Struthio camelus: one gene and its partner. The protein of the gene in region 2 interacts with the protein of the main gene of each other region in a pairwise test. Links are inferred from orthologs where the notes say so. Each region holds a gene or a part of one and is shown on either strand. Other genes may lie near its edges.

Region 1 (5,786 bases), on a different chromosome or scaffold from region 2:
TGACGTCACCCCGCGCGCGCCGCCCCCTCCCGCGCGCGCGCTGACGTCACCCCGCGCGCCCCCGCCGGGCGACGGTTACACCCTTAACACCGCCCCCCCCCTCCCCTTTTATTCGGTTTTTTCGGGTTTTTTCCGGGTTTTTTCCCCCCCCCACCACCACCGCGCGTTATTTAATCAACGGTTCTGCCGCCGAGCTGCCGTTGGCCCGGGAACGGTGACCCCCCCCCCCCCCCCCGGTTCAGGCCCCTGAGAGGAAGACGCGGAGGCCGCGGTGGGGCCGCAGGCCGCCCGCCCGGCAGCGCCGGCGGAGCGCTCCCCTTTCGCCTTCCCTCCCTCCACAACCGAAGGACCCAGCCCTTTTTTTTTTCCCCCCCGCCCCGCCGGCGTGGCGGGTTTTGTGTTATTCGGCGCGTTTTACACCTTCCGCGACACCGCGGCTGACCGGCCTCCGCCGCCTCGGCCCTCGGCTCCCGTCGCGTTACCCGCAGGCGCCCTTCGGCCTCCCGCCCCCTCCCCAAAATCACAGCTTCCTCAGGTCCTCCGGCCCGAAGGAGAGCGGCAAAAGCTCCTCCAGGCTCTTGACGACGTAGGTGCCGTCGGGTTTGGTGAGGTACACGTCCCAGTCCCGGCCGAACTGCGGGGCGAGAAGAGGATCAACGGGCGCCCGGCGCCGCGGGAATCCCGCCAAGAGTCTTCCCGCGGGCCGGCGTGTGGGGGGTGGGGGGGGACACCGGGAAGGGCCGAGCCGGGGAGCGAAGAGGGGGGAGAAAAAAGCCCTTTACCTCCCGCATGACTTGTCTGCAGGCGCCGCAGGGCACGATGAAGTCGCCCTCGAGGTCGCTGCCGGAGAAGAGGAGGCAAAGCTGAGGGCGGCCGGCGAACCCCCCGGGGGGGGGGGGGCGAAGGCACCTGAAGAAACGCTCTTTCGGGCAGCCCCCTCCTTGTTTGTGTCCCCCCGCCGCCACCTCCTTGCTGCCCTCGACCAGGCGAACCCGCCGCGCGGCGCCTCACCTGGCGATGGCCATGGCCTTGAAGCTGGTGTGACCCTCGGAGACGGCTTTCTGGATGGCTGTGCGCTCGGCGCACACCCCCAGGCTGTGGCAGGCGTTTTCCACATTGCAGCCTAGGGGAAGGGCGCGCGCCGTCACCCCGGGGCTGCTGCCAGCCCCCGAGAGGACGCGGACCCCCCACCCACCCACTTCGCCGTTCACCCTGGCGGATGTTTCCCGGCTGTTGGCCCAAAGCTACAGGCGGGGCGCTTACCGGAGAAGACGTGGCCGCTGGCGGTGAGGAGCGCGGCGCCCACGGGGAAGCGGCTGTAGGGGCAGTAGGCGGCCGCCTTGGCCTCCCGGCTGCGCTGCAGCAGCAGCGCCCGGAGGCGCTCGGCCTCCGGCGAGGAGCCCCGCTCCATCGCTCCGCCGGCCCTGCGGTTAAATATTTCCCCGGCGGCGTGGCCCTCGTCCTCCCCCGCCGCGGGGCCGAGCCCGGAGGACGCCCCCGCGGGCGTGGGAAACGGGGCCGAGACCGCGCGAACGCCGCCGAGACCCGGCCCTTCCGCCCCTCGTTTTCCCCCCTGCGCCGCTTATTTCCCTTTCTTTTTTCTTTTCCCCCCTCCCTCTCTTTAGGCCCCGCGTTTCTAAAGGCTCCGGCGCCGTCCCGATGGGATCGGCAGAATATTTTCCATCACTGCTTTCTTTTTTTTTTTCTCCCCGGCAGCAAAGCTGTTTTATGACTCAATGGGAAAACGTCGTAAAATGTACTCGGGAGGGAAAACACCGGTTCCTCGGCAGCGAGATAAGACGATACGGTTGAAAGCAGGGAAAAAGCAAGAGAAATCAGCTTTTCCGGGCCTTGTAATGAAGAGTTAAAATTCCACGTTGAAGATCCGGATTGAAAACGTGTTTTTGCACTGAGATTTCGGCATCTGCCTGAGGCGGGGGGGCGCGGGAAGAATATGCTGCCGCCTGCAAGGCCGATGGAAAATAGGCGATTTAAAAGCCGGGAGCTTTCTTTAGCGAAGAAATCGAAGCTGAGCCGCTGGAAGAAATGCCACAAACTCCACGCGCTCGACGCCGGCTGCGTGCTCGCCCGCTGATTTAAGCGCGGGGAAGTCCCAAGCTTTTAGGAGCTCCGGTTTTCCCTGCCTGGGATGCGGGGAGAGTCGGACAAACCACCTTCCTCATGCAACATGTTATATCACCCGCCAGAGCTTTAGGGCTGCCAAGGCGCAGCGCGGGAGCGAATTGCCGGTGCAGGGGGTAAAGTGCGATTGCAGGGGGTAAAGTGCAGCTGCAGGGGATAAATTGCAGCTGCGAAGGGCAAATTGCAGCTGCGGGGGGAATATTGCAGCTGCAGGGGATGTATCGCGGTTGCAGGGGGCATATTGCAGTCGAGAGGGGTAAACTGCGGCCGCTGCGGGGAGCGACCCCCAACGCCGGGGCCGGCAGCTCTCGCTCCAGTTCGGCGCTGCTCGGTGCCCTCGCAGCTCCAGAAAGCCTGTTTGTGAGGGAAATAATCGGCTCAGAGGAGCAGGGCAGGAAAACGAGGGAGGAAGCAAACGCCAGGTCCCCGGAGAAGCCGAGCCGGCAGCGATCCCCGACGCTCGCCGCATTGACAGCGGGACCTGAATAACGCAGGAGCTATAAATAACCGGGCTGACAAACACCCCCAAACCCCCAAATCTGCATTCTTGCCCTAGAAATCCTGTCCCTGAAACCATCCTTTACGCTGAGAGCCGGGAAGCAAAGCAGCACAGAGCAAACCGCGTCCTTTGCTGGAAAACAAAACCAAAACACAACCGAATAAAGAGATCGAAAGAAAGGCTTGCATCTTTTATTATTTTGGTTGCCAGTGCTGCGGAGCTGCGCTGCACCAGCGCCGGCTCGAGGTCGTCGGAGAGAGGAGGGGTTGTCCGCCGCCGTCGGGTTTGCAGCACGCGCAGCGGCGTGGAGCGCCGGGGCGAAGAACCGCCGAGGAGGGGCGCGTTCGCTGCGCCGACGGGGGTCTCCCTGGGCGGCTCGGCGGCGGAGCCGACGCCGGAGCAAGCCTCGGATTCGGCAGGAGGCTAAAAGCTAAAATTTCCACCCAAGAGGGGCATCCTTGAAGGCCTGCAAATATGGCAAAAAAAAACAAAAAAAAACGGGGGTGGGGGGGAACTGAGTGAAAACCACCTGCGAGAAGGCAGCAGCGTTTGCAAGCCGGGCCGACGCGAGCGCCGCCGGGGGCGGCCGGCAGCAAACGCCTCGAGGAGCGCCCCGATTTGAAGAGAAAGCCTCGTCGCTGGCGCTAGGGCTGTGCGGGGCGAGCAGCTGCCGTGGTCCGAGCCTTCGGGGAAAAGGGGGGGAAAAAAATCACTGCCACCTCACTCCGCCCTTAATTTCCCCTGCGGGGAGCAGGGGGGGGGGGGGCTCCGCTCGGCGGGCTTGCCGGCGTGGCTAACGTTTGCCGAGGGCTCCCCGCGCGCTGCCTGATGCCGCGTCCCGGGGAGGTGGAGCAGCCCACGGAGGGCTGAGTCCCCGCTGCCGCCGCTCACGCAGCAGGAGCGGGCAGGCGAGCGGCTGCGCCTCGCTCCGCCGCCGGCTCCTCTGCGGCAGCTCAGCGGCTCCGCATCCCCCCGCGCCGAGGCCAGCGGCATCCTGCCGCAGCATCCGCCTCCCGCCGCGCTGGGGTAGGGAGCCGGCAGCGGGGGGGCGGCACCGCCGGGGGACCCCTCCGCGGCAGGTCAGCCTCCCAAAGCGGAGCGGGGCGGAGGGGCAGCTCGGCCGCGGGAGCATCACAGCGGCGTGGGAACGGTGAGACCCACGGGAGCATCGCGGCGGTGCGGGAACAGTGAGACCCGCGGGAGCATCGCGGCGGCGTGGGAACGGTGAGACCCGCGGGAGCATCGCGGCGGTGCGGGAACGGTGAGACCCGCGGGAGCATCGCGGCGGTGTGGGAACGGTGAGACCCGCGGGAGCATCGCGGCGGTGCGGGAACGGTGAGACCCGCGGGAGCATCGCGGCGGTGTGGGAACGGTGAGACCCGCGGGAGCATCGCGGCGGTGCGGGAACGGTGAGACCCGCGGGAGCATCGCGGCGGTGCGGGAACAGTGAGACCCGTGGGAGCATCGCGGCGGTGCGGGAACGGTGAGACCCGCGGGAGCATCGCGGCGGTGCGGGAACAGTGAGACCCGCGGGAGCATCGCGGCAGTGCGGGAACAGTGAGACCCGTGGGAGCATCGCGGCAGTGCGGGAACAGTGAGACCCGCGGGAGCATCGCGGCGGTGCGGGAACGGTGAGACCCGCGGGAGCATCACAGCAATGCGGGAACAGTGAGACCCGTGGGAGCATCGCGGCAGTGCGGGAACAGTGAGACCCGCGGGAGCATCGCGGCGGTGCGGGAACGGTGAGACCCGCGGGAGCATCGCGACGGTGCGGGAACAGTGAGACCCGCGGGAGCATCGCGGCGGTGCGGGAACGGTGAGACCCGTGGGAGCATCACAGCGGCGTGGGAACAGTGAGACCCGCGGGAGCATCGCGGCGGTGCGGGAACGGTGAGACCCGCGGGAGCATCGCGGCGGTGCGGGAACGGTGAGACCCGCGGGAGGACTGCGGTGAGGCGGAAACGCCGAGCCCCGCGGGCGGCAGAGGAGCCCTCGGCGCAGCCGCGATGCTGCCCTGGCGCCGCAGCAAGTTCGTGCTGGTGGAAGAGGAGCGCGAGGGCAAGGGGAAGAGCTTGGGCCCGGGGCTGGGCTACGGCTCGCTGCTGGCCGCCCTGGCGCGCGCCTGGCCCGGCGCGCTGGCCGAGTGCCCGCTGCGGCGCCTGGGCCGCCTCTTCGGGGGCAAGCGCCGGACGGCGGAGCTCAGCCGGGAGGCGCCCACGTACACCGTGCGCTACCTGGGCCACGCGGCCACGCTGCGGGCCAAGGGCGAGGGCTGCACCGACGAGGCCGTGGGCAAGATCTGGGCCAAGAGCGGCGGCGGCGCCAAGATGCGGCTGACGCTGGGGCCGCACGGCATCCGCCTGACGCCCTGCGAAGCCGGCGCCCGGCGCCCGGGCCAGTGCTACCTGCTGCGCCGCATCACCCACTGCGCCGCCGACGCTCGCCGGCCCGACCTCTTCGCCTGGGTCTACCGGCACCGGGCGAAGAACAAGGCGGTGGCGCTGCGCTGCCACGCGGCGCTGGCGCCCGAGGCCGGGGTGGCGGGCGCCGTGGCTCGCCTGCTGGCTCAGGCGGCGGCGGGCGCCCTGGCCGAGTTCGGGCGGCTGCAGCGGCAGAGCGACGGGCGGCACGGGCGGCAGCAGCGCCTGGGGGCCGCCGCCGTGCCCCCGGCCCCGCTGCGGCGCCTCCTCAAGGCGCCCCGTCCCTACGGCCCGCCGGCGGCCGAGCGGGGCCGCGGCGCCCCCGGCCTCGGCTCCATCCTGGAGGAGGAGGAGGAGGAGGAGGAGGAGGAGGAGGAGGGCGAGGAGGAGGAAGGCTCGGGCCGGCGGCGGGCCGACGTGCTGCGGCTGGCCGGCGAGCTGCGGGGCTGCAGCCTGCGGGGCGCCCTGCCGCCGGGGTGCTGAGCGCCCGCTGAACCCCCCCCCCAAAGGCCCTGGGGGTGGGATGGGGTTGAAACCCCCCTCTCTAAGGCCCTGGGGGGGTGGGATGGGGTTGAACCCCCCCCTCCAAAGGCCCTGGGGGTGGGATGGGGTTGAACCCCCCCCCAAAGACCCTGGGGGGTGGGATGGGGTTGAACCCCCCCCTCCAAAGGCCCTGGGGGGTGGGATAGGGTTGAACCCCCCCGCCCCAAAGCCCTGGGGGTGGG
Region 2 (7,888 bases):
TGATAATTTTGTTACAACAAAATGAGCTTCAGCCTGGTGACTCAAAAAACCATGTCTATTTGTCGCAGCACTTGGCACTAACTTTGTTTCTGTGTTCTCATGATGCATGCATGGGCTGCAGATCAAAGGCTACTTCTAGGTCATTTTACCTATAAGATTATTGAGGTTTCCTGCTAAATCACTGAGAACAGTGAAAATTTGCAGTGTTTTTATTAAACTTGCACAGTCAGCATACAGCAAAATTAGAAGGTATGTCAGCTCTGGTTGGAGTACCTCAAAGAAACCAAAATCCTTAAAAACCAAACAGTTAAACAAAAGTCAACTTATAAATCTTCTGAAAAGTCCCAGAGGCCTTCCAATATGTCTGCTGACACCTTCTCCCTCTCTCTGACCCTCCTAACTCAAAGCATTTATCTAAAGAACAAAAGTTGACAGTTAGCATTTAATAAAAGTTGCTTGTCTTGTCAGTTTGCAGAACTCTTGTTCCTGCTGGCCGTTTCCCTGATGGTGTGTTACAACAATGCAATGGCCAGCAGCACTTACAGAAATAGATGCAAAAAAGTGACTTAATTAATTTTAAATAGGTTCATTCTTGAATATAAAATGTAGAGCTGCATGAGAAAGAGAGAGTTGCAAGGAGAGGGTCCGTGTTTCAGCTAACAAAGGTCCCGTTTGAAAGGAATGATTGCTGTTTCTGCTAACATACCATGGTACAGAAAACGGTTGCATTTTGCTTTTAGGCATTTTCAAGAGGTTTTTATTTACTAATAATACAGTAGCAGTTTCTGATTCCTGGAACAGTTACGTCTGTCAGTAAAGTTAAAGGACTGTGTTACATTTGCAAACATCAGAAAACCCTCAGTAATCATGTTCAAATTCTTCTTTTGTACCCCTGAAGTTTTACAGACTTGGGCTTTAATCCTGTGTACCTGCAAGTGAGGCTTTACCCTACTGATATACCTTAAAGAGAAGTGTTTGACTACTTTTTGCAGAAGGTAGATTCGCCAAATCGCATTAGATTGTAATTTTGAGAAACACGTTTGCATGTCTTGTACCATGTCCTTTTCATGAGGTAATATGAACTGTACTTAATGCTAAGTCTCCTTTCCACCGCTACAAAACAGATGTCTGTTATGTTTTAACGGCACCAAAATTAATTACTTGTATTTAGTTTTCCTCTTGTTTAGGAAAAAAACCCTTTCCTGACACACTGTAGAATACACACCAGACGGAGGCAGCTAGAGTTAACACTAAAAAATATTCATTTGTTTACAGGCATTCACCGTTCTCTTCGCTGGTAGGAGCTGCGGAGCCTTGCTGGTGACCACCGACACCTGAATCATCTGAAATAGCCCCTGAAATTTTTGGCTATTTCAGGGCTCCGGACCCCGCATGGCACCTTGGAAAGGAAAGATGAGTGTGTTGTCAGGGCTGGTTTAGACACGGTGCAGGGAGCAGCGGGCTGCTGGTAGCAGCGGGAGGTCAGCAGTAGGTCCTGCTGCCTGTTTTTCCTATGCCTAATTGTTGCACTGTCTTCAGGGGAGGGAGCAGTAAAAGGGAGCAGGGAATTGCAGGCACTTCCCTTGCCTGGCCGGCTCCAGGCAGGCTTACGATGCATTACTGAGGCCGAGCAGTCCAGACGGATGGGCAGGAGTGTCTCGGAGCAGCAGACCCAGTGGAAGTCCCTTGGCCACCCCTTTCTCGCAGACCCACACTGGCACCTCTCTGAAAAGTGGTGGCAGGATCCTGGGAAGCAAAAAGCTGCGGCATGGTAAGGGAGGGGTGGTAGCACGGCCTGTGAACCTTAGCAGAGTGGTGCGGATGGAAACGCGGCACAGGCAGTCCGTGCAGTGATGTGGCAAGAGAGAAACCAGGCTGTGGCTGAGTCCAGCTGCGCATAGTCCACACGTGTAGTTCCTGGATCCCTTTTTACCAATAGATTGGTTTAATTAGTTGGCGACTATGGAAATGCCTGCATAAACCTCAGTCTGGTTCAGTAGAAGTACTAAGGTGTGCACACCTCTACTTCTTGAGACCTCCTGGGTATCTTCTGTCTGGCTCAAATGTATGTTTCAAAACTTTTTTTTCTGTCAAATATAGAAAGTGACAGAGCTAATCCTCTTTCACTGTCCCTGGCTGTCAGAATAGCGTTAACTTGTACATTGGGAACCTCAGTTAGGTATTTTTACTTAGTATAAATTCAGTTCAAGCCTTCTAGTCGCTTGATTAGAAGCAATATATCTTAAGTATAGATTTTCTTTCATTATTTTATGGACTACATTCTTCAACTCAAAGATTCCTTAAGAAATTATAAATAGAAAAGATCCAATATTTTGTGCCCGTAATTCAACTTACTGTCATTGCTTTAAAAGGATCAAAGTGATATTTATGACTTTTTAGAAATAATTTTTTCTGAAGTGGAGGTAGGCCTGTACATTAAGTTCAAGCTCAAAATATGATATTGCTGGTGCACAGAAAAGCCTTGAAGTAAGCATTTTAAAGAAAATTGTGATTTTAAATTGAAATAAATATTGTATTGAACACAAAAGCATGCAGAACATGACATGAGACTTAGAAAACCGCAGCTGAGCTTCTGTTGATGTAAGTCAAAGGAGGCATACCTAGTCCCCCTTTCCCCAAGGATGTCTGTGGGAGGCCCAAGTCATGAATCTGGTTGTTGGGCATGAATCTAGTTGTTGAATCCTGACCAAAGTGTGGTTATAGCAAGTGATTCTTTGGCCAGCTTAGAAAATCCTGACCCTTTGTCTGCAAAAGACATTTTTAAGTAGCAGCATTTTGGCCTCCACAGCTGGTCTGTGCCTCAATGGAGAAGAACATTTCTTTAGTTCATTTTTCTCTTCAAAAACCCCATTCCAAATCAGCAGGATCATCTTCTGGTTCTGGTTAAAGCATCAGGCAAGGGAGTCAGGCTTTTACAGTCAAGCTTATGCAAACACGCTCACCCCTACGCGCCCTGTTTTCTTTGGTTATAAGGCTACTGCTGGTCACCCGCAGCTTTAGCAGGGCCGTGGGCCTGGTCCTAACTGTGTTTTAAATAGAACCAGCACAGCAGAGTTGTGATTTAATAGTTTATTAGCTGTATTTGTGGAACAGATGAGACCTTGGCTTGTGGTACCTGGCAAGTAGTGCAGGATGGATCAGCGAGCAATGTGCTTGGTAAGGAGTCTGCGCTTGGACAGTAGCCTTGTTTATACAGATTCAGTTCAGTGCCCACTTGAGTTAGCAGAAGTGTCTGACTTCAGAGTACTTAGCAAAGTCAAACTGTGGGATATTACATTTCACTTGTAAGACCTAAAACTAGCACCGTCAGTGAAGTAGATTAAGGTCTGGATGACGACATGAACCCCTGTCAGTGTGTGTAGCAGAGGTCATTCCCAGAGGACCACAGACACAAGTTAGAGCAGCTTACAGCCACCCGTCACCTTCTCTGCTCGGGAGCGTTTTTATAAGCATAATTTCAAAACTGTGCTGTCTGGACTGAATGCATAAACCACACTGAGCAGCCTTAAACCAGAGACTCAGTCTCAGGAGGAAAAGTGGGGGGTTTCTCTGGTAACAGAAAGCTACGTTAGCAGTCTCCATGCCAGGCTGTGGTGTGGAGGCAGTGTGTGAAAATGGCCACGGCCAGCTGGCAAGCGTGCTCTTGGGGCCATTTTTTTTTGTAATTTATCAAAAAAAATTTGTGTTTTTTAAGCACTGTGTACCATAGGACAGGAATTCAAGGCATGATTTAGAGTAGTCCCCATCTCCCTGATTTAGGGCTACCTTGAATTAACTTTTGGCACTCACCACTGGCCCTCTGGAGTCTCCAATGCCGGGAAGATGCAACCAGCCTTGCTGTACTTCCACCGTCTCCTTTATGCTGTTTTTCACTGGGAGGTACAGAGGACCATACTGAATGAGGCAATTCCCATTGCAAAAGCTACACTTTCAGAAGACCAGATTTCTGCTTGCAATGCAGTTATGATGGTTGAACAGTTCAGCTATGGAGCACAGACTGAACCAACTTTGTTTTTAGCTGTATTTCCAAATCATGCTAAATATGGTGGTTTTTTAATATATATGTATATATAAGTATATATAACAAAAATATATTTAAAAGTATACATAAATAATAATTTATTTCCACTGATGATCAAATTGAAGAGTCAGTTATAGCCCTCCGTAGTGTGTAATAATATTCAGAATACTTCTGGCAAGGCAGTGGCCTGGGATTCATTTAAAAATCAAGTTCTCCTTTAATAATAGACACATTTTTATTCACTGTGTTAGGCTCTGCAGTGTTTACTATAACCACATTGTTCTGGTTACTTGCCAGATCACTGAACCTATTGTTTCTCTTATACTTCCACATTAGGTTTACATACAGTGCCTGACTCTAAAGCAAAAAGTTTTAACAGGACACTGAGCCTTCTACTCCTTCTATTTGCCTCTGTAGTTCCAAATGTAATACACTTTATTTAATTCACTGTAACTGCTTCTCTGTTGATTGACCATTTATAATCCAGTGGAACCATAGCAATGACCTATGCTTTAAAATGAGAGTAATGGAGTATCCCCCTCACACAGAGTCAGCCCACCTTGAAAGCCCTGACATTACCACTACCCCACTGGATTAGAGGAGATGTGGTTTATATTAGTGGCCTGAAGAAGGTTCATGCCCTTTGGGAAAAGGTTGTTCCCTGGAATGGCAGTGTGATTAATGGTTTATTTACAACACTGACATCAAGGCTGTCAGGACTCTTCATCAGTCTTTGATGTAAAACACACTCCGAGGCCCTAGGTCATTCTTATCTGCTCAGAGAAGAGAAATCAGAAATGAAGAATGGGTGAGTGTGGCTTCAGTTCTGGTACTAATATTTTCCATAGTGGCAGCAACAGAAGAAAACTACAAGGTCACTTCTACTTCGCTGGACAAGCTGGTGGGACCATATCTGGTGGTATGGCTTCCTTTTTTTGTCTGGGGGGAGAGCAGTATGTACAACAGAGCAAGAGACTGCCGGTGACAGATACCACGGTGAGAACATACAGATACCTACATCAGATCCACAAGGAGGGGTAAGTGTTTCAGCACTGCACAGAGCTCAAAATAGGAACTGATGAATTTTCACTATGACATTTTTAGTAATTATTGTGTGGTACTCAGCACTATCATGTATGGACATTTCCAATTTTCAGAACTTCAGTATTTTAAGAAAGGCTTCCCACTGCTGAAAACTTTCTATATTTTCTTGCTGAATTGGCTAAGCCCAGTTTGATTTTTCTGAAAACCTCCTCAGAGCTGTGTGCTGGTGAATCCCACACAGCCCATGTTCTCGTGGGCTGGCTGATTAGTGAGATAATGCTGCAATAACGTCAGCCGTTCCTCTCAGCGCTTTGATGGCAACTGGCTTGTTGACATCCAGCACGTTTACATAGGCAGCCACCTTTTCTCCTGCCCAGTTCAACATCTGTGGTACAGGAGAGATTTGAAGCATAGACAGTATGCAATATGCCTACGGTACTTCAGTTCTACATTACCTTCACAGGGGATTTAAAAATAACTAAGATGCCTGAGAAGGTCTCCAGGGCCCAGTTAAAATAGTAACTGGATGAAAATCAGTTACTGAATCTGAGCCAGATAAGACTGAAAATAATGCTAGGGAGGAAGAAAACTATTTTGGAGAACCTCAACTTCCCTCTGTTAAGAGCTCTGGCATTTGTTTTATCAAAATGTTCCAAACCATTTGGCTTTGTGTGGGCTCCTCGTTATTTCTTGGTGCCTAAACAGCATGACCCTATGAGATAGTTCTTCTGTGCATGATATCCTGGCAGACTGCACTCCTTCTTGATGGGTTAGGGTTTACTGATAGCAATCTATGACTTGCAGGAATATGTCTAGCAATATGCCCATAAATCAAACTGCTCATCTTAACAAAACTCTAGTTCAAACACAGCAACGTGCTTGCTTGGCAGAGCTGGCTTCCGAGAGCGCGTTTTACTGGGGTTCACTTGGCTTCCTATAGAGTGCTGGATGGAAATTAGTGTATGCAGTGAGGACCACCCAAAGCAAATGATTTCCATTAGAACTAAACAAGTCCTTAAATGCAAGAGTGTAGGATGTTCGTGCAACGGGACACAGAGGTTTCTTGACAGTGGGTGCTACTTAAGATACTATCTTAAGGAGAGCAAAAAAAGCCCCACAATCTAGTAGTAAAAAAACCACATCCAAGTAAAATAATCAGGAAAAATGCAGAGGCAAATTAAATTCACACACAACAAAAGCAGACAAAACTAAACAAAGCTGTGCTTTCCTGTCCTAACTTTAATCCTCCAGAAGGCCTTTAGACATTGTAGTAGATGGCTTCTAGCCCACGTGTGAAGATCCTAACTACAGTGAGGCAAATGACTGTAATTAGCAGTCTGATTAATTTTACTTCCTGAAAGTGCAAAATGCAAGCACTTAACAGATTCATTATTTGACATTTCTTCAAAATTTCTTAGGGGAACAATTCTCAGCTCTGGACCATTTGCAAATATTTCATTCTCAGCATTTTACCTTTTTGCTGTTGGCTACTTGAACAGATTTTTCTTTCTAGGTTAGATGGCCCTTAGTTAGCCAAAAGCTTGTGTTGTTGTGAAGATCATTTGCAAGTACAAAACCTTAAGTGCCCAGCTCTGGTTAACTAGGTAAACTGATCAGCACTCAAATGTTTCCACTAGAATATTCCTAGGGAGTATGTACACACTCACACACATACACACGCACCAATGGCAAAAAAAATTTTAGATGTGAAAATTTCACACGCAGAAAATTCACATGAAAATTTTGCAGGAAAATGTAACTTTTTTTCCAGCTTTAGTCCTAAAAACTGGAAGTATTTCCATTTGATTAGTACAGTTGTGTGCATGGAACCCAAAACAAAAAGACTGAAGAAGATAGGAAAAAAATACATAGAAAATAAGTTTTTGTTGATAACTTTCCATGTTTCTCTCTACACACATTTCATGGAAGATTCTAGGTAATAGAAACTAATGTGGCTAATGAGTCACAACCAACAATCATACTCTCAATACACAGTATACATATATTTTGGTATTTTCCAGCTCCCGGAGAAAGTTTCATCATTTTGTCATTCTAAAACTTTCCCAGACCACTCCCTTTGTAAAATCTGTTAAAGGGCTTTTAGCTGGTTTGTGGTCAAGGCTCTGTGTCTCGTGCAGCATGTTAATCCCAAAATATGCTTCAGCAAGCTCAGAACAAAGTTGGGCTGTCCTCAGAACCCCCCTCCTCTTCTCCTCTCCCTTTCCCCATCTCCATATGGGAGTTTAAAAGCTTAAATTATTGAATGCTGCAGGGTTTGTTGTTGGCGACGAGCAGTTGCAATGTAGAAATCAGCAAGGGAAACCTGGCATTTCTGGCATCCATCCTGGGAACCACACAGGGCTTGCTGCCAGGTTTTTCTCCATCACGCTCTTCTTGCTGGAGCTACCTGAAGCTCATTCCCTGGCCATGCGTGTCTCTCCTGCTCCCCCCTGCACCAGCTGGAAAGGTCTTGGCTGCCCGTCTGCCTGCTGGAGGTAACATCTGCTTCCCAAGCTGCTCCGTGGCCATTTCCTACTCCACTTTGGTCAAGGTGAGCTGGGCTTGCAGCCTGGAGCTGTGGCGGTGGTGAGGGCTGGGAAGCTCAACTGCCCATCCCACCTCAGAGGCGGGCACTGCTGGTGCCCAGCAGTGGGAGGAGACCCCCCCCCCCCCCCCCGGCAGCTGAGAGGGCCACAGCAGAAGAGGATGACTGTCTGTCTAGCGCCTCGTGACACCTCCTGGTGCAGGGAGAGGCACTGGGAGCTGCTGAAGGCCAGGACAGGCTAAGGATCTCCCTGTTCT

Evidence for each region.
Region 1: the proteins of LNX1 (region 2) and CDA interact in binary tests that used the Homo sapiens proteins (3 or more experiments, as listed by UniProt). The two-hybrid records come from large-scale screens. The link is inferred for Struthio camelus from reciprocal best matches to the Homo sapiens genes LNX1 and CDA.

The regions. Positions count from the first base shown.
Region 1 is NC_090962.1:12,711,705-12,717,490, forward strand, and holds CDA (cytidine deaminase), read right to left. Parts: upstream 1,721-5,786; 5' UTR 1,412-1,720; coding exon 1,264-1,411; exon of another isoform or gene 1,124-1,263; coding exon 1,012-1,123; exon of another isoform or gene 841-1,011; coding exon 654-840; 3' UTR 635-653; downstream 1-634. Other genes in the region: protein FAM43B, read left to right, coding at 4,648-5,544. UniProt on the Homo sapiens protein: This enzyme scavenges exogenous and endogenous cytidine and 2'-deoxycytidine for UMP synthesis.
Region 2 is NC_090945.1:57,111,249-57,119,136, forward strand, and holds the start of LNX1 (E3 ubiquitin-protein ligase LNX), read left to right. Parts: upstream 1-4,836; 5' UTR 4,837-5,079; intron 5,080-7,888.